Macaca mulatta: one gene and its partners. The protein of the gene in region 1 purifies or fractionates together with the protein of each later gene. This does not show direct contact. Links are inferred from orthologs where the notes say so. Each region holds a gene or a part of one and is shown in the gene's direction. Other genes may lie near its edges.

Region 1 (7,327 bases):
GCGCTGTGGTGGGGCGAGTCTGCCTTCCCACTGACCCAGGGCTGTTTCTGTCGCTTGCCCTAAGAAACAGCTCCCCCACTGCGCCTGCCCCCCGGGACTCAGGCGTCCCAGGCACATCTGTCCTGGCACACCAGTTGCTACCTGGCTGCCTGGCGAGGGTCTGACGGGTAGAGTGTGCATGGCCCTCACCACCTGCACGTCCGTAGGGGAGTACATCAAGACCTGGCGACCACGCTACTTCCTCCTCAAGAATGATGGCACTTTCATTGGCTATAAGGAGCGGCCGCAGGACGTGGACCAACGTGAGGCCCCCCTCAACAACTTCTCTGTGGCACGTAAGTGTCCCCTCAGCCTTTCGGGATTCAGATTTGGGGTTGGCTGGAGCCCTCTTTGCCCACCAGGCCCCCCGATGGGGGTGCCCTGGAGCCTCCATGTTCTGGGCCAGCAAGCAACAAGCACGGGTTGGGTGGGGGTCTCTGGGCTGAGTCCCGAGGCTGGCTGGGCAGGGGTCTCCAGGCTGAGTCCCAAAGCCGAGGCTGACTGGGTGGGGGTCTCCAGGCTGAGTCCTAAGGCTGAGGCTGGCTAGGCGAGGGTCTCTGGGCCGAGTCCCGAGGCCGAGGCTGGCTGGGCAGGGGTCTCTGAGCTGAGTCCTGAGGCTGGCTAGGCGGGGGTCTCTGGGCCGAGTCCCGAGGCCGAGGCTGGCTGGGCAGGGGTCTCTGAGCTGAGTCCTGAGGCTGGCTAGGCGGGGGTCTCTGGGCCGAGTCCCGAGGCCGAGGCTGGCTGGGCAGGGGTCTCTGAGCTGAGTCCTGAGGCTGGCTAGGCGGGGGTCTCTGGGCCGAGTCCCAATGCTGGCTGACTGTGGAGCAGTTCCCTGGTGCCCATGCTCTGGAGGCTGGAGGGTCCAGACAAGTGGTAGCAGAGCCTAGCCTCAGGGTGGACAGCTGACCCGGGGGCCCCTCCTCCAAGCGGGGCAGATAGAGCCCACCTGGGTCTCTAGCTCTGAAGCCTCCATCACTCGAGGAAGAGCTCATGCCTCTGCCCGCACAGGCGCTCGGTCCCCAAACCCCGTGGCGGAACCTTTGCTTCCCTCTGTGAGGCTGCAGGCTGGAAGCCTCCTTGCCCACGAAGGGGCGGGTGCAGAAAGGCCAGCGGGGGACCTTGGCCAGAGCATCCCACAGAGATGAGAGACGTGACACTCCCTGCTTCGCCCTGCTGTGGCTTTATTTCCTACCTGTAGCGGGGGCAGGTGCGACCCTACCCATGTTAGACGGGAACCCTGGCATGGAGACCCAGGCGCCCTGCTAGGTGGGAGGCTGGGGGCACGTGGGCCTCCCAGCATGGTCCCCATTTTCTGTGTCCCTGTCCTGGAGCCCAGCTCTGCCCGTGGCAGCCAAAGGTGTGATTGAGTAGCTAAGTAGGACCCAGTTGTGGGCCATCTGTATGTGGCAGGGCTGCGTAACTTGCCCCACGCCCTCCCCAGTGTCTCCTTGGTTGGGGCTGGGGGCTTCAGGGATCAGGGAGAGGCTGGATACTCGCTGTGTGCCTGGTGGCACCTGGGACAGGGCCTTGCTGGGGACGGGTGCTGTGGGTGTGCTCGCCAGGCCGAGGCATCAGGAAGGAAGGAAGAGGGGAGCTCTCTGGGGAGGCACACGGGTGGGTACCAGCTGGGGTGGTGCCTGAGCAGCCGGCAAGGCTGGGGCCTTCAGATGAGGCCATAGGTGGGTGGTCTGGAGTGCCTGGCCAAGGAGCAGAGCTGGGCAGGGGCCAGGAGCTTTTCTCCGGGGAAGGGTTCCGGGGCAGTGGGCTCGAGACCCTGGCCCTGGGGATTGCATATTAGGGCAGATCAGACCATCCAGGAGCAAGTGGGAGGTGGGTGTGCCGGGGCTTCACACTGGTTTCCACTTCTCTGGCCTGTGTTGACACAGGCCACCCTCCCCACCAGGCTGGTCCCGAGCCCCCTCCTGGCCCCCAGGCCTGGAAGACAGCTCCCTCGCTGCCTGGCCAGGCCCCCTTGTGGTTGCCAGGGCCTCGATGCTGGAATGTCAGAGGCCCCCTACTGGCCCCTCAGCCCCCTCCTGCTTTGCACAGGCTGGGCCAGAGCCTGCCAAGGAGCCCCAGCGGCTACACACTGCACTCACTCACACCTCTCAGGGCCCCGCACGTTCCCACAGCCCTCAGGGTGTATGTGCAGTAGGAATGGCTGTGCCCCACGTATGTGTTCCCCAGGTGTGTGTGCGCTCCAGGTGTGTGTGTGCCCCAGGTGTGGCTGTGCACCAGATGTGGCTGTGCCCCAGGTGTGTGTGTGCCCCAGATGTGGCTGTGCCCCGAGTGTGGGTGTGCCCCGGGTGTGGGTGTGTTCCACGTGTGGGTGTACCCCTGGTGTGACTGTGTGCCCCAGGTGTGGCTGTGTTCCGAGTGTGGCTGTGCCCCACATGTGGGTGTGCCCCGGGTGTGACTGTGCCCCAGATGTGGGTGTGCCCTGGGTGTGACTGTTCTGGGTGTGGCTGTGCCCCACATATGTGTGTGCCCCGGGTGTGGGTGTGCTCCAGGTGTGGGTGTGCCCCAGATGTGGGTGTGCCCTGGGTGTGGGTGTGCTCCAGGTTTGGGTGTGCACCAGGTGTGGGTGTGCACCAGGTATGGTGTGCCCCAGGTGTGGCTGTGCCCCAGGTGTGGCTGTGCCCCGGGTGTGACTGTGCACCAGGTGTGGTGTGCCCCGGGTGTGGTGTGCCCCAGGTGTGGCTGTGCACCAGGTGTGGCTGTGCCCCCAGGTGTGCGTGTGCCCCCAGGTGTATTTCCCAGGTACTCAGGGTGAGATTGGGAAAATAGCAGGACATTTCTACACTAGGTGGGACAAGCTGCTTTCTGGGGTGGCCCCCTCATGCCAGCCCCTCTGTGGGATCTCCATATCCCTCATCCTCTGAGGCCTGGTGCACGGTGGGGCTCAGTGACTGAAGGAAGGGGACTGTAGGAGGGGACGATGCGGGGGGGTTGACCTGACCTTGGGCCAGATGCCCTTTGGGGCTGCCTCAACCTGGAATAGAGTGTCTGAGCTGGAATGGGGGTCCTAGCCCCACTCTATGAGGCGAGAAACTGAGGCTTGGAGAGAGGAGGAGGTGGGGCTTCCTAGGACTTGTGGGTGGTATGCAAGGGGAGCTGGCTGGTGCGGTGGGGACTGTGGTGAGGGCCCTGGGAGGGGCAGGGGGATGCATGCAGACAGAGGCTCTGCTTGCCCGCAGAGTGCCAGCTGATGAAGACGGAGCGGCCCCGGCCCAACACCTTCATCATCCGCTGCCTGCAGTGGACCACTGTCATCGAACGCACCTTCCACGTGGAGACTCCCGAGGAGCGGTACGTGGGCTGCGGCGGCCAGGCCGGGCACTTGGGCAGCCCTAGCGCTTAGGAGGGACGTGGGGATGGCGGGTGCTGGGCGCCTCTGCCTATAGCCATCCTTACTCCCCAGTGATCCCAGGCCCTCCTCAGAGCCCGGTTTGGAAACTGGCCCAGTCCTGTGGGGTTGGGTGGGGAAACTGAGGCTGGAGATAAAAACTGTCTAGGGACCGGGCACAGTGGCCGACATCTATAATCTTGGCACTTTGGGAGGCTGAGATGGGCAGATCACTTGAGACCAGGAGTTCAAGACCGGCCTGGCCAACATGGTGAAACCCCCGCCTCTACTAAAAATATAAAACTTAGCTGGGTGTGGTGGTGCACACCTGTGATCCCAGCTACTTGGGAGGCTGAGGCACAAGAATTGCTTGAACCCAAGAGGCGGAGGCCGCAGTGAGCCGAGATTGTACCAGTGCACTCCAGCCTGGGTGATAGAGCAAGCCTGGGGGGCGGAGTCCTGCTGTGGGCCTGGGTCCTGCTGGGGGTTGGAGTTTGCCTGTGGGGACAGAGCCCTGCTGGGGGCTTGAACCCTACTTGGGGGCTAAGCCTGCGTGTCCCTCAGGTCCAGAAGGGCTTTCTGACCCTGAGTGTGTGTGGCCAGCCCAGGTCAAGGGGTGGCCTCCTCAGGGCTGTCTCTGGGGACCCCGCTTGTGAGGCTGGAGGGTGGGTGTAAGCCGTGGGGTGGAGCTCCTGACCTCATGGGGTGAGGTGCAGGGCTACAGCCTCACCTGACCTCCTGCAGGGAGGAGTGGACAACCGCCATCCAGACAGTGGCCGATGGCCTCAAGAAGCACGAGGAGGAGATGATGGACTTCCGGTCGGGCTCACCCAGCGACAACTCAGGGGCTGAAGAGATGGAGGTGTCCCTGGCCAAACCCAAGCACCGTGTGGTAAGGCCTGTCCCCCTTTCTGCCTATGCCTGGGGCTACCTTGGGCTGTGGAGAGCTGGGTGGGTCATGGGGTCCCAGCTTGGCCCAGGAGACACTCAGCACTCCACAGCATCCCCATCTAGGCCGGTTTTCCATGTGGGGCGCAGCTGCTTCCCAGGTGGGTCCTCTTCCCTATGTCAGAGAAATAGTGGGGCTGCTGAGCCCTGCCAGGCTTGGGCAGTGTTACCCCACCCTTCCCCGAACCCCACGCTCTGAGCTAGGGCTGCACCGTGTGTTCCCTGTAAGTCCGGACTCCCCGCTGAGCCCCGCAGGCCACCAGGTGTGAAGCGGTCGCCTCTCCTGGCTCCGCCTCCAAGTCTGCCAAGGGTGACTCTGGGGCCCCCATGCCACCTGACACATGCCGACCAGCTGGGCACTGTGGGCAGCGCCCCCCGCTGACCCTGGTGCCTGCCCACAGACCATGAACGAGTTTGAGTACCTGAAGCTGCTGGGCAAGGGCACTTTCGGGAAGGTGATCCTGGTGAAGGAGAAGGCAACGGGCCGCTACTATGCCATGAAGATCCTCAAGAAGGAGGTCATCGTGGCCAAGGTGGGGCCGGGGTGGTGGGGCAGGGTGGAGACGAGGATGCTGGGCGGCAGCTCACCCAGCCCTGCCTTACAGGACGAGGTGGCCCACACACTCACCGAGAACCGTGTTCTGCAGAACTCCAGGCACCCCTTCCTCACGGTGAGTGGGAGCCCAGATGGGGCTGAAGGGCTGGGGTCAGGTGGCGACTCCTGGGGCTGTCTCTAGGGAACGATGTCCTGTCTTCTTGGGCACGTGAGGACTTTACGCACCGCGGATTCTGCCGCTGGTGACAGGCCTGCCCCGGAGGGTCAGGCTGTGGAGGTGCCCGATGTGGGCTGGGGGCTGTGCTCGCCGCTCCTGTGTGCAGGCAGGTGGGGCAGGTGGCCCTGGTCGTCTTTGCACTCTGCCGAGGCTCCGGGAGGCCCCAGCTCCCCATGCCCTGCAGCCCTGCCTGCCAGGCTTCTGTTGAGGCCCGGGCTCTGTCCTGGGGAGCCCGTTCTGGGGACTCGACCCAGGAGGTATTTACTGTGAAGGGGGCCAGACTCCAGCCACGTGGTTAGTTCCAGGTCACTGTGTTTGGGGATGATTCTCCTGCAGAAGGGGCCTTTGCTTTAAAAGCACAGCCGCCTGTGGTGGAAGGCAGGAAGGTGGCTCTGCCTGGGAGGGTGCATCCTCCCTTGCCAGGGCTCTGGTGCTGGGAGCACTGCCCCCTGTTGAGGTCCCAACCCGCCCTGGAGACCTGAGCCCAGGCCACTTTGCTCACCTTTCAAACACTCCTTGGCGCCTCAGGGGCTGCCAGGGCCCAGCCTGATGGCGTGGTGTGGGGGTGTGGCATGAGGCAGTGTGATGTGGGGGTGTGTGGTGTGGGACAATGTGGTGTGAGACAGTGTGATGTGGGGGTGTGTGGTGTGGGACAATGTGGTGTGAGGCAGTGTGATGTGGGGGTGTGTGGTGTGGGACAATGTGGTGTGAGACAGTGTGATGTGGGGGTGTGTGGTGTGGGACAATGTGGTGTGAGACAGTGTGATGTGGGGGTGTGTGGTGTGGGACAATGTGGTGTGAGGCAGTGTGATGTGGGGGTGTGGTGCGGGGCAGCGTGGTGTGGGGCAGCGTGGTATCGGGCAATGTGGTGTGAGGCAGCGTGGCGTGGGGCTACGGGTGGCATGGTATCGGGTGGCATGGTATCAAGCAGCATGGTATCAGGCAGCGTGGTGTCGGGCAGCATGGTGTGGGGCTACGGGTGGCATGGTATCAAGCAGCATGGTATCGGGCAGCGTGGTGTGGGGCTGCTGTCCTGCCCGTGGGGCTGCAGTTCCAGCTCCGCTTCCTTGCAGGCCCTGAAGTACTCCTTCCAGACCCACGACCGCCTCTGCTTCGTCATGGAGTACGCCAATGGGGGCGAGGTAGGGGCTGGGGCTGCGGGGGATGGGCCTCACGGCCTGTGGACCCAGCCCTGGCAGCTGGGCCACCCATAGTGGGGCTGGTCCTTCCCGGAACCTCGGCTACTCTCCACAGCACCAGACGGTGCTCCCTGCTGGGTGGGTGGTATGACGCCTGCCCAGGCAGCTGCCTGCTGTGGGGTGACTTGTTCCTGCTGAGTTAGGGCTTCTGAGACTTTCCAGGCCCCCGTGCCCTCTGGGGGCTGGTCCCTTCCCTGTGCCCAATGCCCTGAGCCCCTGCCTGAGAAACCCCAACCCTGCAGGCCGTGGGGGCAGAGGCCCCGGCCACGGCTGTGCCTCAGGTCGTGCTTCCCACAGCTCTTCTTCCACCTGTCCCGGGAGCGTGTGTTCTCTGAGGACCGGGCCCGCTTCTATGGCGCCGAGATCGTGTCAGCCCTGGACTACCTGCACTCGGAGAAGAATGTGGTGTACCGGGACCTCAAGGTGCGCCGGCGGGCACTCGGGGTGGGGGCAGGGCCCTGGGAGCCTGGCGGCACTGACCTGAGGCCACCTTTCCCCTAGCTGGAGAACCTCATGCTGGACAAGGACGGGCACATTAAGATCACAGACTTCGGGCTGTGCAAGGAGGGGATCAAGGACGGCGCCACCATGAAGACCTTCTGCGGCACACCTGAGTACCTGGCCCCCGAGGTGTGCGCCCCACCTGTGTGCATACGCGTCGCTGTGTCCCCACGTCCCGAGCACACGCAAAGCTGTGTCCTCTCTGTGCCCCAAGCACGTCACGACACCTCCCCCGGACACCCCCTGATGCCGAGTCCTGCCCATCTGCCGCCCGTGCAGGTGCTGGAGGACAATGACTACGGCCGTGCGGTGGACTGGTGGGGGCTGGGCGTGGTCATGTATGAGATGATGTGCGGCCGCCTGCCCTTCTACAACCAGGACCACGAGAAGCTTTTTGAGCTCATCCTCATGGAGGAGATCCGCTTCCCGCGCACGCTTGGTCCTGAGGCCAAGTCCTTGCTCTCAGGGCTGCTCAAGAAGGACCCCAAGCAGAGGTGAGGGCCACCCATCCCGGCTGCAGG
Region 2 (7,792 bases), on another chromosome or scaffold:
TTCCGGACGCGGCTATAGGGCGTCGGAGGGGGACCGCAGGATGGCGGGGGTGCCTGCTCGGGTGACTCAGCACGGCCCTGTGGGACTGGCTTTGCCACATCTCTTATCGGACGCGTTGTTAAAGCCGCCTTGGGTGCTTTGTTTCTGTGAGGGTTCATGGTGTGGGAGGAGCGCTTTCGGTCTCCAGCACCCCATACTCCCTCCTTCCAGATCTTTATTGCAGTCCCGGTGGAGGAGGGTTGGGGAGGGGGGCAGGTTCTGGAAGATTCATGGGCTCCCTCCTCCGCCCGTCCTCTAGAGCTGAGATTGTTCTGGAAGCTTCTGGATTCTGGCGCCCCGCCCCAGTGCCCGGATGCTGGGGCGAAGGAGGGTGCACGGCGGCGCCCCCTCCTCGCGTGGTCCCTGCCGACGCATGTCCGGCAGTGACGAGTGTCGGCCTGGTGGTTACGGCCACCATCTTCCTTCTGTTGGGTTTGGGCCTGTTCTGTAATTTTGTCCTGTGAAGGGGTCGTAGTGGAGCTTTTGGCTTATCGATTCTTTGTCCGGATTTAATTGCCCCTCGGGCGGGTATCCTCTGGATCCCAGGTTATTCCTCCCTGCAGTGTAGGGTAGGAGTGTCCCGCCCTTGGGCTGGTCTTAGGAAGACATCTCAGGGGGAGCAGTTTAAAGTTAGTGCCAAACTAGTTACTTTGATCTCCAAATGAAGAACTGTAGGTAGCGATTTTCACATTTAAATTTGTGTAAGGATTATCTGGGATCTCTGGATACCTGGGTTGGACCAGCATTATGAGTTTCTGCCATACTACCGGATGACGCTGAGACTGCTGGTCACCACTCTAAGTAGCTGGGTTCTGTGACATTTGGTTGAAGAACATTCAGCTTATTTTCTTTTTCCTTCTGAATTTTCAGGCTTCCCACTTAGTGTGTAGCCTGAGATCTTTTAAGAGAATGCTTTTTCGGTCTTTTCGGAAGGGATAGTACTCAGGTCAAACCAGTCTCAACTCTTAAGGTCCTAACAAATGAGATGACCTTTAGGATTTTAAAATGTGAGGCCTTCATGTTTTGTAATTAATGATCATTTTTATTTTAGATGCCTGAGGAAGTGCACCATGGAGAGGAGGAGGTGGAGACTTTTGCCTTTCAGGCAGAAATTGCCCAACTCATGTCCCTCATCATCAATACCTTCTATTCCAACAAGGAGATTTTCCTTCGGGAGTTGATCTCTAATGCTTCTGATGTAAGTGCTGTGGTTTCTATATTTGGTGTGTTTATTTTTTTGACACTCTTCGTAGAGAGGAAAGGAGTGGTTTGGCCTTTGTTGGGGACTACTATTGAAGGGGGTAAACTTGCAACTATTCCAAAAAGATTTGTCTTATTCTCTGGCCATCTTGAACTTGAAAGGGAAGTGACTATGTCCAGAAAAAGTGGGCTCATGTAACTAACTGTAGTTCTAAAGCCTCAAGATAAGGGGCAATCAGATTTGAGGCTGAGAGAGGTAAACCAAGATTTTCTTTGAAGACACGGGCTTTAAGAAAGCAAAAGTGACCGAGCGTGTTGACTCACACCTGTAACGCCAAGGCAGGAGGATCACTTGAGCCTAGGATTTCGAGGGCAACCTGGGCAACAGCCAGACCTTGTCTCTGCAAAAAATTAAATATTAGTTGAGCACAGTGGCATGTGCCTGTAGTCCCAGCTACTTGGGAGGCTGGGGTGGAGGATGGCTTGAACCAGGGAGGTCAAGGCTGCAGTGAGCTGTCATCCTTGCTACTACTGCACTGTAGCTTGGGCAACAGAGCAATTGCCTGTCTCGGAGAGAGCAAAAGTAAGTTGCTGTTTGTATTCGTTTCAGGCCTTGGACAAGATTCGCTATGAGAGCTTAACAGACCCTTCGAAGTTGGACAGTGGTAAAGAGCTGAAAATTGACATCATCCCCAACCCTCAGGAACGTACCCTGACTTTGGTAGACACAGGCATTGGGATGACCAAAGCTGATCTCATAAATAATTTGGGAACCATTGCCAAGTCTGGTACTAAAGCATTTATGGAGGCTCTTCAGGTACTGCAGTTCTGTAGGCATACACCATTCATATTCATCAGTGTTCTTTATTTTTTTTGCTGCTTTAAATTTTGTGTTTGACTTTACAAAAACTTGTTGGCAGGCTGGTGCAGACATCTCCATGATTGGACAGTTTGGTGTTGGCTTTTATTCTGCCTACCTGGTGGCAGAGAAAGTGGTTGTGATCACAAAGCACAACGATGATGAACAGTATGCTTGGGAGTCTTCTGCTGGAGGTTCCTTCACTGTGCGGGCTGACCATGGTAAGTTAGCTTTTCTGTTACAAGGTAGCTGGGTTAGAGTTTTGTGGGCTCACCAGTAGCAGAAATTTTGAGCATCCTGTCAAGCAGTTCTTCATAGCAGTTCCGCTAATACTTTATTAATTTGGTGAAGTCTCAACTGCATATACTTTCGTCCTGTTACACGCTTATGATTGACTCTTCTAGGTGAGCCCATTGGCAGAGGTACCAAAGTGATCCTCCATCTTAAAGAAGATCAGACAGAATACTTGGAAGAGAGGCGGGTCAAAGAAGTAGTGAAGAAGCACTCTCAGTTCATAGGCTATCCCATCACCCTTTATGTGAGTATGGACTTTTAAACCTTTTACACTTAGCCTGCAGGATGTTTCCTGTTCTGGAGAATCTCGTGGTCCCTGGCTGCTTCTTTTCCTGGTGTTTTGTACTCCAAGGCTAATTTCTGTTTTTCTTACTTAGTTGGAGAAGGAGCGAGAGAAGGAAATTAGTGATGATGAGGCAGAGGAAGAGAAAGGTGAGAAAGAAGAGGAAGATAAAGATGATGAAGAAAAGCCCAAGATCGAAGATGTGGGTTCAGATGAGGAGGATGACAGTGGTAAGGATAAGAAGAAGAAAACTAAGAAGATCAAAGAGAAATACATTGATCAGGAAGAGCTAAACAAGACCAAGCCTATTTGGACCAGAAACCCTGATGACATCACCCAAGAGGAGTATGGAGAATTCTATAAGAGCCTCACCAATGACTGGGAAGACCACTTGGCAGTCAAGGTGAGAAGCCTTTGCATGTTGGGTCAACATGCAAATATGGAGAGGAATAAGTGGAAGAGTGTTGGCAGGTAATAGACACATGGAACGTGTCCAGCTGATAACAGAAATATGAGAGCCATGTATTTTCACTTACTGATTACCCGGTCATAGTGAAGTGCCATCCTTCCTAATGACCTCACTTTCTCTAAAGGAAATCTGGGTAATGTCTATTGGCAGCCTTACACATCCAGAGTTCTGATCAGAGCGGACTGTTTTCTATATACAGCTAGTATTCGTCTAGATCGTTGAGGGCATTAAGGCTCAGTTTTCTCGGGAACTGCCTGTGTGTGCGCTCTATCCGTTAGGCTTATGGGGAGGATCATTATTCCATTTTTAGGTAATTTGGTGTTGGGGCTAAAAGGCCCTCTTTTGAAATGTATCACTTATTTTTTGTTTTTTTCCAGCACTTTTCTGTAGAAGGTCAGTTGGAATTCAGGGCATTGCTATTCATTCCTCGTCGGGCTCCCTTTGACCTTTTTGAGAACAAGAAGAAAAAGAACAACATCAAACTCTATGTCCGTCGTGTGTTCATCATGGACAGCTGTGATGAGTTAATACCAGAGTATCTCAGTGAGTATCTCCTTGGCCTAATTTAGTTGGGTGAAGTCTTGGGAGGTTTTCGGCATTCTGCCAGAATATCCTAGGTTAAGGATTTTCTGCAATGCATAGTAAGTATAAGGGTTCAGGAGGCTATTAGAGCCTTCTGTTTGAATCTGGGTACCAGCTCTGGTCTAGCTATTTTTACTGAGCTTTCTTATCCTGGTTGATGGCAGATTTTATTCGTGGTGTGGTTGACTCTGAGGATCTGCCCCTGAACATCTCCCGAGAAATGCTCCAGCAGAGCAAAATCTTGAAAGTCATTCGTAAAAACATTGTTAAGAAGTGTCTTGAGCTCTTCTCTGAGCTGGCAGAAGACAAGGAGAATTACAAGAAATTCTATGAGGCATTCTCTAAAAATCTCAAGGTAAAGAGGCAAATGCTTATTCCCTTTACCACTTTCTTAGTAATTACTAACAAATTTTTCTATTCACATAGAAAGTGAATTGTAGTTAAGTTGGATTGTTTTTTCTCTTCCCACTCTTCAAGCTTGGAATCCACGAGGACTCCACTAACCGCCGCCGCCTGTCTGAGCTGCTGCGCTATCACACCTCCCAGTCTGGAGATGAGATGACATCTCTGTCAGAGTATGTTTCTCGCATGAAGGAGACACAGAAGTCCATCTATTACATCACTGGTGCGTTGGTTCTGATGGAAGCCTTTTTGGAGGAGTGGGGAGCACATTTCAGGGCTACCTAGGAACTGGCAGTATGAGGCATTTTAGTCACTGAGTCCATTTAATTACCCTACAGGTGAGAGCAAAGAGCAGGTGGCCAACTCAGCTTTTGTGGAGCGAGTGCGGAAACGGGGCTTCGAGGTGGTATATATGACCGAGCCCATTGACGAGTACTGTGTGCAGCAGCTCAAGGAGTTTGATGGGAAGAGCCTGGTCTCAGTTACCAAGGAGGGTCTGGAGCTGCCTGAGGATGAGGAGGAGAAGAAGAAGATGGAAGAGAGCAAGGCAAAGTTTGAGAACCTTTGCAAGCTCATGAAAGAAATCTTAGATAAGAAGGTTGAGAAGGTAAGCCATTCTGGAGCTAGGATATATTTTGTAACATACCTTTGAGGTGGGCTCCCTCACAATCATGTTTCTACACAATTAGTGGCTTGAGGCACCCTATTTACTGTTTGGAGCCTTCTTGGCTCTTGTTCTCTCCCCTAGCCAGGTTTAAGGCTATTTTAATAAAATTTGGCACAGATAAGGCATTGCTTCAGTTAACTTGTGAGAGTAGATAAAATATTATTTTCTTCTTTTTTTGACTGGATCTCAGCTCACTGCAAATTCAAGTCTCCTGAGTGGCTGGGATTACAGACATGTGCCACCACACCCGGTTAATTTTTTGTATATTTTGTAGAGAGAGGGTTTTGCCAGGTTGGTCTCAAACTCAAGTGATCGGCCCCACCTCCTCCTCCTCCCCCTGCTGGAATTACAGGCTTGACAGTGTCCGTTTTCTCTTTCAAAGTGGTCACTGATCTAATGCAAATCTAAGGCTTTTGTGATTGTCCACAGGTGACAATTTCCAATAGGCTTGTGTCTTCACCCTGCTGCATTGTGACCAGCACCTATGGCTGGACAGCCAATATGGAGCGGATCATGAAAGCCCAGGCACTTCGGGACAACTCCACCATGGGCTATATGATGGCCAAAAAGCACCTGGAGATCAACCCTGACCACCCCATTGTGGAGACTCTGCGGCAGAAGGCTGAGGCCGACAAGAATGATAAGGCAGTTAAGGACCTGGTGGTGCTGCTGTTTGAAACCGCCCTGCTCTCTTCAGGCTTTTCCCTTGAGGATCCCCAGACCCACTCCAACCGCATCTACCGCATGATCAAGCTAGGTCTAGGTAAGCAGCTTTGGTACTTGATGTGGCAAGGAGTTTGTGCAACTAGGCTCCTGTCTGGATTTGACTTAATGCTATTTAATCAAGTCTTACATGGCTTAATTTTACTTTAGGTATTGATGAAGATGAAGTGGCAGCAGAAGAACCCAGTGCTGCAGTTCCTGATGAGATTCCCCCTCTTGAGGGCGATGAGGATGCGTCTCGCATGGAAGAAGTCGATTAGAAGTTCATAGTTGGAAAACTTGTGCCCTTGTATAGTGTCCCCGTGGCTCCCACTGCAGCCTCAAGTGCCCCTGTCCCACCTGGCTCCCCCTGCTGATGTCTAGTGTTGTTTTTCCTCTCCTGTCCTTGTGTTGAAGGCAGGAAACCAAGGGTGTCAAGCCCCATTCCCTCTCTACTCTGACAGCAGGATTGGATGTTGTGTGTTGTGGTTTATTTTATTTTCTTCATTTTGTTCTGAAATTAAAGTATGCAAAATAAAGAATATGCCGTTTTTATACACTTTTGCTCTCCCTTGTGAAGTGGATGTTAATTCTTCCCTAGCTTCTCTATCCCCCCAGCTCTTGCTGTTTTCATGAGCACAGCAAGTTAAGCTGGTTTTGTAGCTAAGATACAGAATACCAGTGAGTCTTAAGAGTGCACACACTGAAGCCAAAGGCAGTTTTTCTGAAAAACTACCGTATAATAATGCCTTTTCAGTCAACCAAAACACAGGACCAAGCCCATTACAGTAATTTAATTTAATAAAATAAAATTATAAGAGCAAAAAGTTACATTTCTAAAGTACCAAAACCTACAACAGGCTCATGGAGTAGAGCCTAGGGATCCAGGAGCATAGGAGGTGGTGGTGCTGGGCAGGGATCTGCATCCCCTTTCCACAACACAGCACCATCTTCACTTCACCCCCCTGGGAAAGCAGCATTGGAGCCTACACCGCTTGTGCTTTTCTCACCAGGGTAAGAAATGCAGGTATTTGCAGAGGGGAGTCTGGAAGGCAGCAGAGCACAGCTAGGGCAAGACTTAAGGAAACTTCTGGGAGGGGGAACTGTGGAACCTACCTATGCCCTCTTGACCCCAAACTCCCCCTCACTGAGGACTATCTCTACCCTGGGGCTCAGAATAAACTGCCTGCTGGAAGATGGGTGACTTAAGGCAAAAGGGAAGGCTGCCTCCTGGGCTCCCCACCCCCTGCTGCAGAGTCTATGATACTGAGAAAACACCTGCATTTTGCCCTTTGAGCCAGCTCCCTCGGGTTACAGTAGGAGAAAATGGTGAGAAGACTATTTCACTTCACCCCTCAGGCCCTCTCCACCCTCAAACCTTCTGCACAGGAGACTCAACAGGCACAGCCTTCTTTCCCCGTTGCTTTAGACGGCCCCGCGCGTAGACTCTGAGTAGGAGGGCAGCAAAGACCACAGCCACTCCCAGCCCTCCCACCACAGTGACAGTGTGGCCATAGAGAAGGCAGGAAAGAAGGATGGCAAAGGCCTGGCGGAGGGTCATGATGATGGTGAAGACAGCAGCCCCGAACTGCCCAATGGTGTAAAAGATGAAGAGCTGGCCACATGCAGAGCAGATGGAGAGTAGCAGGGCATGGGCAGCAAACTCACTGTGTCGCCCCATGAAGCGGGTTCCCTCCAGGAGGGCCCCCTGTTCTAGCAGTGAGCCTACTGTGAAGAGGCAGGAGAAGAAATTGACCCCAAACATCATCTGCACCGATGACATCTTATAGGCAAATAGGGCATCCTGCCAGTTTGAAGTGAAGCTGTCAAAAGCAATATAACCTGCCAGTAAGATGAGGCCTGAGAGTGTGGTGGCCGGAGAGCTGCGGGGCTCTGGTCCGCTGGATAGCAGAAACATGCTGACCCCGATGGAGATGAGGGTGGCTGTCAGGTACTCCCAGTGTTCGTAGCTGCGCCGAGACACAAGCTTTCCCATCAGCATGACAGGGATCACCTTAGAGGCCTTGGCCAGCACCTGGGTGGGGAAGCTGACGAACTTAAGAGCTTCGTATTGGCACCAGCTGCTAAGCACATTGGACAGACTCGCAAAGGAGTACCGGTACATGGGTGCCCCATGCCGGGGCTGCTTGCAGAGGACACAGGAGAGGCCAGCCACAATCAGTGCCAGCACTCGGTTCATTAGCACCAGGAACTGCGAGTCTGTAAAGCGCTCACCCGGTGATGTGGCTGTGGCCCCATAGCTACGGGTCATCACTCTTTCCTGCAGCACACCCC
Region 3 (7,327 bases), on another chromosome or scaffold:
TATGGCAGAAAGAGTAAGAAGTATATTGGTACCAGATTACTATATTAATGACCTTGAAATTTGTGTTAGAGGGAGTGGACAACCGCCAAAGGATTCTAAGTAGGTGAATAACATCATGCAGTTGTGTTATAGAACAAACATACTAATGAAAATGTGAAGAGGACAAGACTAGAGGGAATCCAATGAAAGGAATTGGAATAGTTTGCAAAGATATAATGAAGGCCTCAGCTAAGGTTGTTACTGAAAGTGGAGAGGAAGGAGTACTTTTGAGAGATATTTCTTTTTTTTTTTTTTTTTTTTTTTTTTGAGACGGAGTCTCGCTCTGTCGCCCAGGCTGGAGTGCAGTGGCCGGATCTCAGCTCACTGCAAGCTCCGCCTCCCGGGTTTACGCCATTCTCCTGCCTCAGCCTCCCGAGTAGCTGGGACTACAGGCGCCCGCCACCTCGCCCGGCTAGTTTTTTTTGTATTTTTTAGTAGAGACGGGGTTTCACTGTGTTAGCCAGGATGGTCTCGATCTCCTGACCTCGTGATCCACCCGTCTCGGCCTCCCAAAGTGCTGGGATTACAGGCTTGAGCCACCGCGCCCAGCCGAGAGATATTTCTTAAGTATGAATTGACAAGTCTTGTGGTAATAGGAGGAATAAAAAATGAGTCCTAGATTTCTTGGATGTCTGGATGGATCCTGTAGTAATTAAGAGAGCTAAGAAACAAAGTAGAAGAACAGGTTTTGTGTACAAAACTATTTTCAGTTTTGTACATTTGTAGCACATAAACACACATAAAGAACCCAGCTGGAGATGCGTTTCCTCTGTCACTTGGGAGAGTGAGAGGGAAGAGATAAAATTTGTGAGTCATTGATATATTGGAATATTAGAATATTCTTGGTACTTGAGGATTCTAAGGAAAGGAGGAAGACAGAAGAACATAATGCCTATTACATAATAGGTATTCAATAAATATATGTTGTCTGAATAAAAGAACTCTAGGGAGCACACATATTTCAAGTATGGGTGAGGGAAGACAAGCAAGTACAAGAGAGGAAGACTGATAGGGAGAGAACCAGGAGGGGAGACTGGTATGCTGTGAACTGATCAAAGTCAAAGACTAATGGCTAAACTAATAACAAACAATTGTCTGCCCTTCCTCCATGTGGTAAGCTTTCTCTGCCATGCTTAGTTTAGTTACTGTACCATTCTTAGTTATGTACAGAATTCTGTTTTCAATATGCCTTTTTTTTTTTTTTTTTTGAGACAGTCTCTGTCGCCCAGGTTGGAGTACAGTTGTGTGATCTTGGCTCACTGCAACCTCCACCTCCCAGGGTGAAGCTATTCTCATGCCTCAGCCTCCCTAGTAGCTGGAATTACAGGCATGTACCACCGCACCCAGCTAATTTTTTTCCATTTTTAGTAGAGACAGGGTTTTACCATGTTGACCAGGCTGCTCTTAAACTCCTGGCCTCAAGTGATCTTCCTGCCTCGGCCTCCCAAAGTGCTGGGATTACAGGCATGAGCCACCACGCCTGGCCTCAATGTGCATTTTGTAAATTATGTGGTTGGAAGGAAGTTAAACAGGAAAATTCGCTTAACCAGTATGTTGAAGGATTTCTAAAAGATCAGAAACAGGAACATCAATGCTCAATTGCTTGTGATACACCTTTTCCTCGGTGGGCTCTTCTCCACAGCTCCTACTGAAGATAATACAAAATTAAGTAAATAATAGTAGATTATTTACTTAATTATTTAAATCTTTTCATTCAAAGGTGAAGTATGAAGTAACAGAAGATGTGTACACGTCCAGAAAGAAACAACACCAGACCATGATGCATTATTTTTGTGCATTAAATACTCTTCAGTACAAGAAGAAAATAGCATTGTTAGAACCTCTACTTGGGTACATGCAAGCTCAGGTAAATACTGTACTGTATTTTGGATTATAACTGTCCTAAAAGCTTTATATTAAGCTTGATATTTACATTAAGTATAAAGATTTATAAACTATTTTCAACATCCTTGTTCATGTCTGTGGAAGTAATTTTAAAAAATGTCATCAGACTGTTATTTTAAGGAAGTTAGGAAGAATGGTTTTCCTTGCAAATGAAGATTTCAAATATTTTAGGGTAAATGAAACCACTTGTTCACCGTAGCTGGGGACTGAGAACAGAAAGCTAAATGAATTTCAGAGTTACACCTATTGCTGGAGCTTCAACTAAACACTTGCTTCATAATAGATCTGAAAGAGAATGAACAGGTTTGAGTTTATCCCATATTCCTTGCATACTTCCTGAGTTAAAAATAATAGATGAACTCCAGCGTGCCCCAAGGTACATCAGGAAGGGGGCTAGAAATTTGTTTTGGGTAGTATAAGACAAAGTGTCAGTCTCCTAAAAATTAAGAGTTTAAAGAAAATTGAGGCCAGGTGCGGTGCCTCATGCCTATAATCAAGCACTTTGGTAGGGCCGAGGTAGGAGAATCACTTGAGTCCAGGAGTTTAAGACTAGCCTTAGCAATGTAGGGAGACCCCATCTCTACAAAAATTGAAAAAATTAGTTGGGCTTGGTAGCATGTCTCCGTGGTCCCAGCAACTTGGGAGGCTGAGATGGAAGGATCCCTCGAGCCTAGGAGGCTGAGGCTGCAATGAGGTGTTACTGTGCAGTCTGGATGACAAAGCGAGACCCTGTCTCAAAAAAAAACAAAAAATTGAATCTATTTAAGTAAAAGAGTACTTTACTGATTATTCATCAGATAGAAAACTTATCTTTGTAGTAAACATGAAATACTTTATATAATTTGTTGGAAATACTTTAAAATTTATTTTCCAATTTTAAAAGATTGTTAACCATACATATGTATTACTTGTTCCAATTCAAAAAATATAAAAGGATATATAGTGGAATTTAAGTCTAACTTCCTTAATGGCTCCATGTGCAGTAGAAATCACAAACTACAATGTATTTTTACACAAATGGGAATATTCCTTTGTTTTTTACCTAACCATGTATCTTAGAGATTGTTTATATGATTTACTTTAAGTATTGCTTAATGTATTTTTGTATTGTTCAATTCCCCTGACTCCCTGCTCTCCAGATAAGTTTCTTTAAGATGGGTTCTGAAAATCTTAATGAACAACTGGAAGAATTTTTAGCTAATATTGGAACAAGCGTTCAGAAGTAAGTATTTTTTTCCTTAAAATTGAAAATGAAATGATGTGAATGATAGCTTAACAGCTCAGTGATATCAAATGTAAAGATATTTATCATTTAATTTCCTGAGTGAATATTTTCCCTGCCATGAGAGTTTCTTATATGGTTCATGGCTACTTCTTGTTTTTTTTTTTTTTTTTTTTTACCTCTTTTTTCCATAGATTGTGAACTTCGAATTTCTTAATGGTGATAATTTGATTCTAAACTCAGTTTTATGTCTGAATAAAACAGACACATAATAGTAATTCCCCATAAGTGAAATTATCTTTAAACTTGAAATTGTGGGAGTTTAATGGGAGATTACTAAATATTGTTTCCACGCCATGAAAGCTTAAAGACAGAGAGAAAGCAGTTCTCATCAGGTTCAAAATGCTGAGCAGTATATGTGGTCTGTCCACGGTATGGAGAGAGATGAAAGTGATTGTTGTTTTAAAGGCACAGGACCTCTGTTTTAAAGGCGCAGTTTGAAAATTATGCCAAAATCAGGGATTCAGTGGGGCTTCATTCATTTTTTGAATTTAGTATTGTTTCCAAAATATCTAAGTTTCAAATAAACTGTAAACCTGTTTTAAAATGTATTTGTGTTGTTTTAACCACGCATGCCACATTTCCTCTCTTTAAGAAAACATATCCAAAACAAATATGCAGGTAAACATGATTAGTAAGGAGTTCTACATTGATTGTGATTTATAGTAAATAATCTGTTCTGTATCAGTGTTCGCAGGGAAATGGACAGTGATATAGAGACCATGCAACAGACAATAGAGGATTTGGAAGTAGCCAGTGATCCCTTATATGTGCCTGACCCAGACCCCACCAAATTTCCTGTTAATCGAAATTTAACCCGAAAGGCTGGATACCTTAATGCTAGGAAGTAAGAAAACTATTGTTATTTTTGTATATTGTATATCATGTAAGACAATACCAAATGAATATAATAAATAATTGATGTCTGTCATATTGTTTTGATTTTTATTAAAGGTTGAAACTTTTTAGAGGTGTTAGTATTATGTGAACTTTTTGACAGATGAGGTACGTAAATACTTTTCAGAAGTAAAATCCTACCTAGCTATTTATTGAATAATGTAGAATGATAAAAGAAGTGAAACCAAGGCTGGGCGTGGTGGCTCACACCTGTGATCCCAGCACTTTGGGGGAGACCAAGGCAGGTGGATCACCTGAGGTCAGGAGTTCGAGACCAGCCTGGCCAACATGGTGGAGCCCCACCTCTACTAAAAATACAAAAATTAGCCAAGCATGGTGGCTTATGCCTGTAATCCCAGCTACTCAGGAGGCTGAGGCACAAGAATCACTTGAACCTGGGAGGCAGAGGTTGCGGTGACCCGAGATCGCGCCACTGCACTCTAGCCTAGGGGACAGAGTGAGACTCTTGTCTCAAAAAAAAAATGAACTGAAACTAATTTGAGTTTAAGTAAATATTCACATATGGTATCATCACATGAGAATGCTGCGAAATATCATTTATCATACTTTAATATATTTGTAATTATAGCACCAAGTCAAATGTTAGTTTTCACCTGATGATAGGATGAAGCAGGTTAACCCTAGAAATAAAATAAATTCTATTGTTTTGAATTTACTCCCTTGGAAGTTGAACTATAACCTGTATTTTATGGATCGTTATTATAACAGCCACAGTTTGATAATTTCCAGCCTTGTTTTGGAAACTGTATACACATTCACAAAAGTGAGTCAATATACATGAATTTATTTTAGAGACTGAAAGCATATTTATATTTAGTTTCTTGGCATCTTGGTGGCTTTTCGGAAGCCAGTTCTTTGTAACATGCTTTATCTTGTGTCTAGCTGATGATGAGATTCAGGTATGTTGTTATTAAAGAGTGAATGTGCTTTCTTCATTTAGTAAAACAGGCTTGGTGTCATCTACCTGGGACAGACAGTTTTACTTCACGCAGGGTGGAAATTTAATGAGTCAGGCCCGTGGGGATGTAGCAGGAGGCCTGGCCATGGACATAGACAACTGTTCAGTGATGGCTGTGGACTGTGAAGACAGACGATATTGTTTTCAGATCACTTCTTTCGATGGAAAAAAGTTAGTATTTTTTCCTACTACTAATTATCTATAATATTTTAAACTTCTGAAATGTGGGATAATTCCTTTTTGTTTAGAAATTTTATGGACATTTTAGGTTCATATGTATTAAGATAAATTGCTTTTTAATCTTGTAGAAATATATTGAATTTTTGTTTCTGTCTTGGTTAAATGGTTTGTTGATATTTTGAGGTTGTCAAAGCAATGTCATATAGTAAAGACCTGTGATTTCATGTTAGGGAACTGGAACTGAAAATCCTGTGTAGCATCGGGGAATACAGAACAAGTTCATGGAAAGAGTCCTAAACCTGGAGTCAGAAAGTTCAAATTCTGGATCCATTACTTACTCTGTGGTCTCAGACAGCAGAGTAATGTCTGTAACCCCTCTCAGCTCCATTTTTGTTCATGTAAAATGTGAGTGGGGGGGTTGTAATCCCTACTTCGTAAATTGTTGTGAGGAACAGAAATTCTAACATATGTAATGTGACTGACATACAGTAGGTGCTAACAACAGTGTTATTTTAAAATGTTAATCAAATATTTCTGATCAGATTATTTTTCCATTAATGTTTATAATACCATTTAAAAAAATTTCTATTACCTTTTTTTGAGGTGGGGTCTTACTATGTCTCCCTGGCTGGAATGCAGTGGTGTGAACATGGCTCACTGTAGCCCCAACCTCCTGGGCTCAAGGGATCCTCCCACCTCAGGATCCCAAGTTGCTAGGATCACAGGTGCATGCCACCATGTCTGGCAATTAAAAAAAATTTTTTTTGTAGAGATGTCTCATCATGTTGCCCAGGCTGGTCTCCAACTCCTGGACCTAAGTGGTCTTCCTGCGCTAGCCTCCCAAAGTGCTAGGATTATAGGCCTGGGCCACCACGCCCAAGCTTCTATTACTTTTGCATTAAATGAGAATCTTTAAAGTAGCATTTAAAAGAAATTTTCAAAAAGCATGGAAAGTTTAAAAAGGAGTATGAAAAAATTCTACTGTCTTATTAATCGAAAGCAACAATTAACTTTTTTGTCCATTGCCTTCCAATTTTTAACCTAAGTACATTTTAAAAATAGTTGAAGAAATACTGTAATTTGGATTTGCAGCCACCTATTAAAAACATGTTATAATGGCTATTCTATAATCTATTTAAGGACATACATTATAATTTAAACATTTTCCTAATGATAGATGTTTAGACTATCTGCCATTTTTCCCCCACTCAATTAAAATACTGCTTTTAACCTTTGAACTTTCTTAATTTAATAATCAGGAGCAGCCTCTGGGTTCCCTGAAAGTCATTTTTTTCCCCTGTATTTATGCACATTAAGATATTATACAAATAAATAAATTTGACCTTTACCCCTGAAAAAAAGATGCTATAGGCCAGGCTTGGTGGCTCACGCCTGTAATCCCAGCTCTTTGGGAGGCCAAGGTGGGTGGATCACCTGAGGTCAGGAGTTTGAGACCAGCCTGGCCAACATGGTGAAACCCAGTCTCTACTAAAAATACAAAAATTAGCTGGGCATTGTGGCAGGTGCCTGTAATCCTATCTACTTGGGAGGCTGACGCAGGGGGAATTGCTTGAACCCAGGAGGCAGAGGTTGCAGTGAGCCGAGATCGCGCCACTGCCTTCCAACCTGGGCAACAGAGTGAGACTTTGTCTCAAAAAAAAAAAAAAAAAAGATATTATAGCTCACTATCCTTTATCAAAATGGTTGTTTAATTTCACATTCCTTCTACAAACATACAATGAATGCCAATATTGTGTGGATTTATCCCACTAGATATTGGGAATCACTGTATTCATTTATCAAAATTACCAACTTGTTAACATGTTACTTACTATAAGTACTTACTTTTTGTTTAATGCTTACCTGATTTCCCATTTCATATTCCTGGTGTGATGCAAAATTAGTAAAAATTATTATTTTCTCTAACTCTAATATTATATCTGTAGAAAAGTGAATTAATGATATGTTAATGAGTAACATTGAAATATTTGATTTAATATTAAAGGAGAAATAATGAAGTAAAGTTTTTGCTATTAGGATCATTG

Evidence for each region.
Region 2: the proteins of AKT1 (region 1) and HSP90AB1 purify together in Homo sapiens (co-immunoprecipitation; 3 studies listed by BioGRID and IntAct, with this or other methods). This does not show direct contact. The link is inferred for Macaca mulatta from reciprocal best matches to the Homo sapiens genes AKT1 and HSP90AB1.
Region 3: the proteins of AKT1 (region 1) and APPL1 purify together in Homo sapiens (affinity purification with western blotting; 3 studies listed by BioGRID, with this or other methods). This does not show direct contact. The link is inferred for Macaca mulatta from reciprocal best matches to the Homo sapiens genes AKT1 and APPL1.

What each region holds. Positions count from the first base shown.
Region 1 is NC_133412.1:178,213,271-178,220,597, reverse strand, and holds part of AKT1 (RAC-alpha serine/threonine-protein kinase), read left to right. Parts: intron 1-206; coding exon 207-335; intron 336-3,236; coding exon 3,237-3,348; intron 3,349-4,129; coding exon 4,130-4,277; intron 4,278-4,734; coding exon 4,735-4,866; intron 4,867-4,938; coding exon 4,939-5,004; intron 5,005-6,179; coding exon 6,180-6,248; intron 6,249-6,602; coding exon 6,603-6,728; intron 6,729-6,806; coding exon 6,807-6,935; intron 6,936-7,085; coding exon 7,086-7,300; intron 7,301-7,327. UniProt on the Homo sapiens protein: AKT1 is one of 3 closely related serine/threonine-protein kinases (AKT1, AKT2 and AKT3) called the AKT kinase, and which regulate many processes including metabolism, proliferation, cell survival, growth and angiogenesis.
Region 2 is NC_133409.1:137,861,490-137,869,281, reverse strand, and holds the end of HSP90AB1 (heat shock protein HSP 90-beta), read left to right. Parts: intron 1-1,090; coding exon 1,091-1,237; intron 1,238-1,849; coding exon 1,850-2,056; intron 2,057-2,159; coding exon 2,160-2,319; intron 2,320-2,502; coding exon 2,503-2,636; intron 2,637-2,769; coding exon 2,770-3,078; intron 3,079-3,521; coding exon 3,522-3,687; intron 3,688-3,890; coding exon 3,891-4,081; intron 4,082-4,203; coding exon 4,204-4,351; intron 4,352-4,466; coding exon 4,467-4,735; intron 4,736-5,224; coding exon 5,225-5,558; intron 5,559-5,668; coding exon 5,669-5,778; 3' UTR 5,779-6,056; downstream 6,057-7,792. Other genes in the region: SLC35B2 (adenosine 3'-phospho 5'-phosphosulfate transporter 1), read right to left, coding at 6,870-7,792. UniProt on the Homo sapiens protein: Molecular chaperone that promotes the maturation, structural maintenance and proper regulation of specific target proteins involved for instance in cell cycle control and signal transduction. Undergoes a functional cycle linked to its ATPase activity.
Region 3 is NC_133407.1:120,803,251-120,810,577, forward strand, and holds part of APPL1 (DCC-interacting protein 13-alpha), read left to right. Parts: intron 1-1,759; coding exon 1,760-1,906; intron 1,907-3,083; coding exon 3,084-3,166; intron 3,167-3,914; coding exon 3,915-4,073; intron 4,074-5,084; coding exon 5,085-5,273; intron 5,274-7,327. UniProt on the Homo sapiens protein: Multifunctional adapter protein that binds to various membrane receptors, nuclear factors and signaling proteins to regulate many processes, such as cell proliferation, immune response, endosomal trafficking and cell metabolism.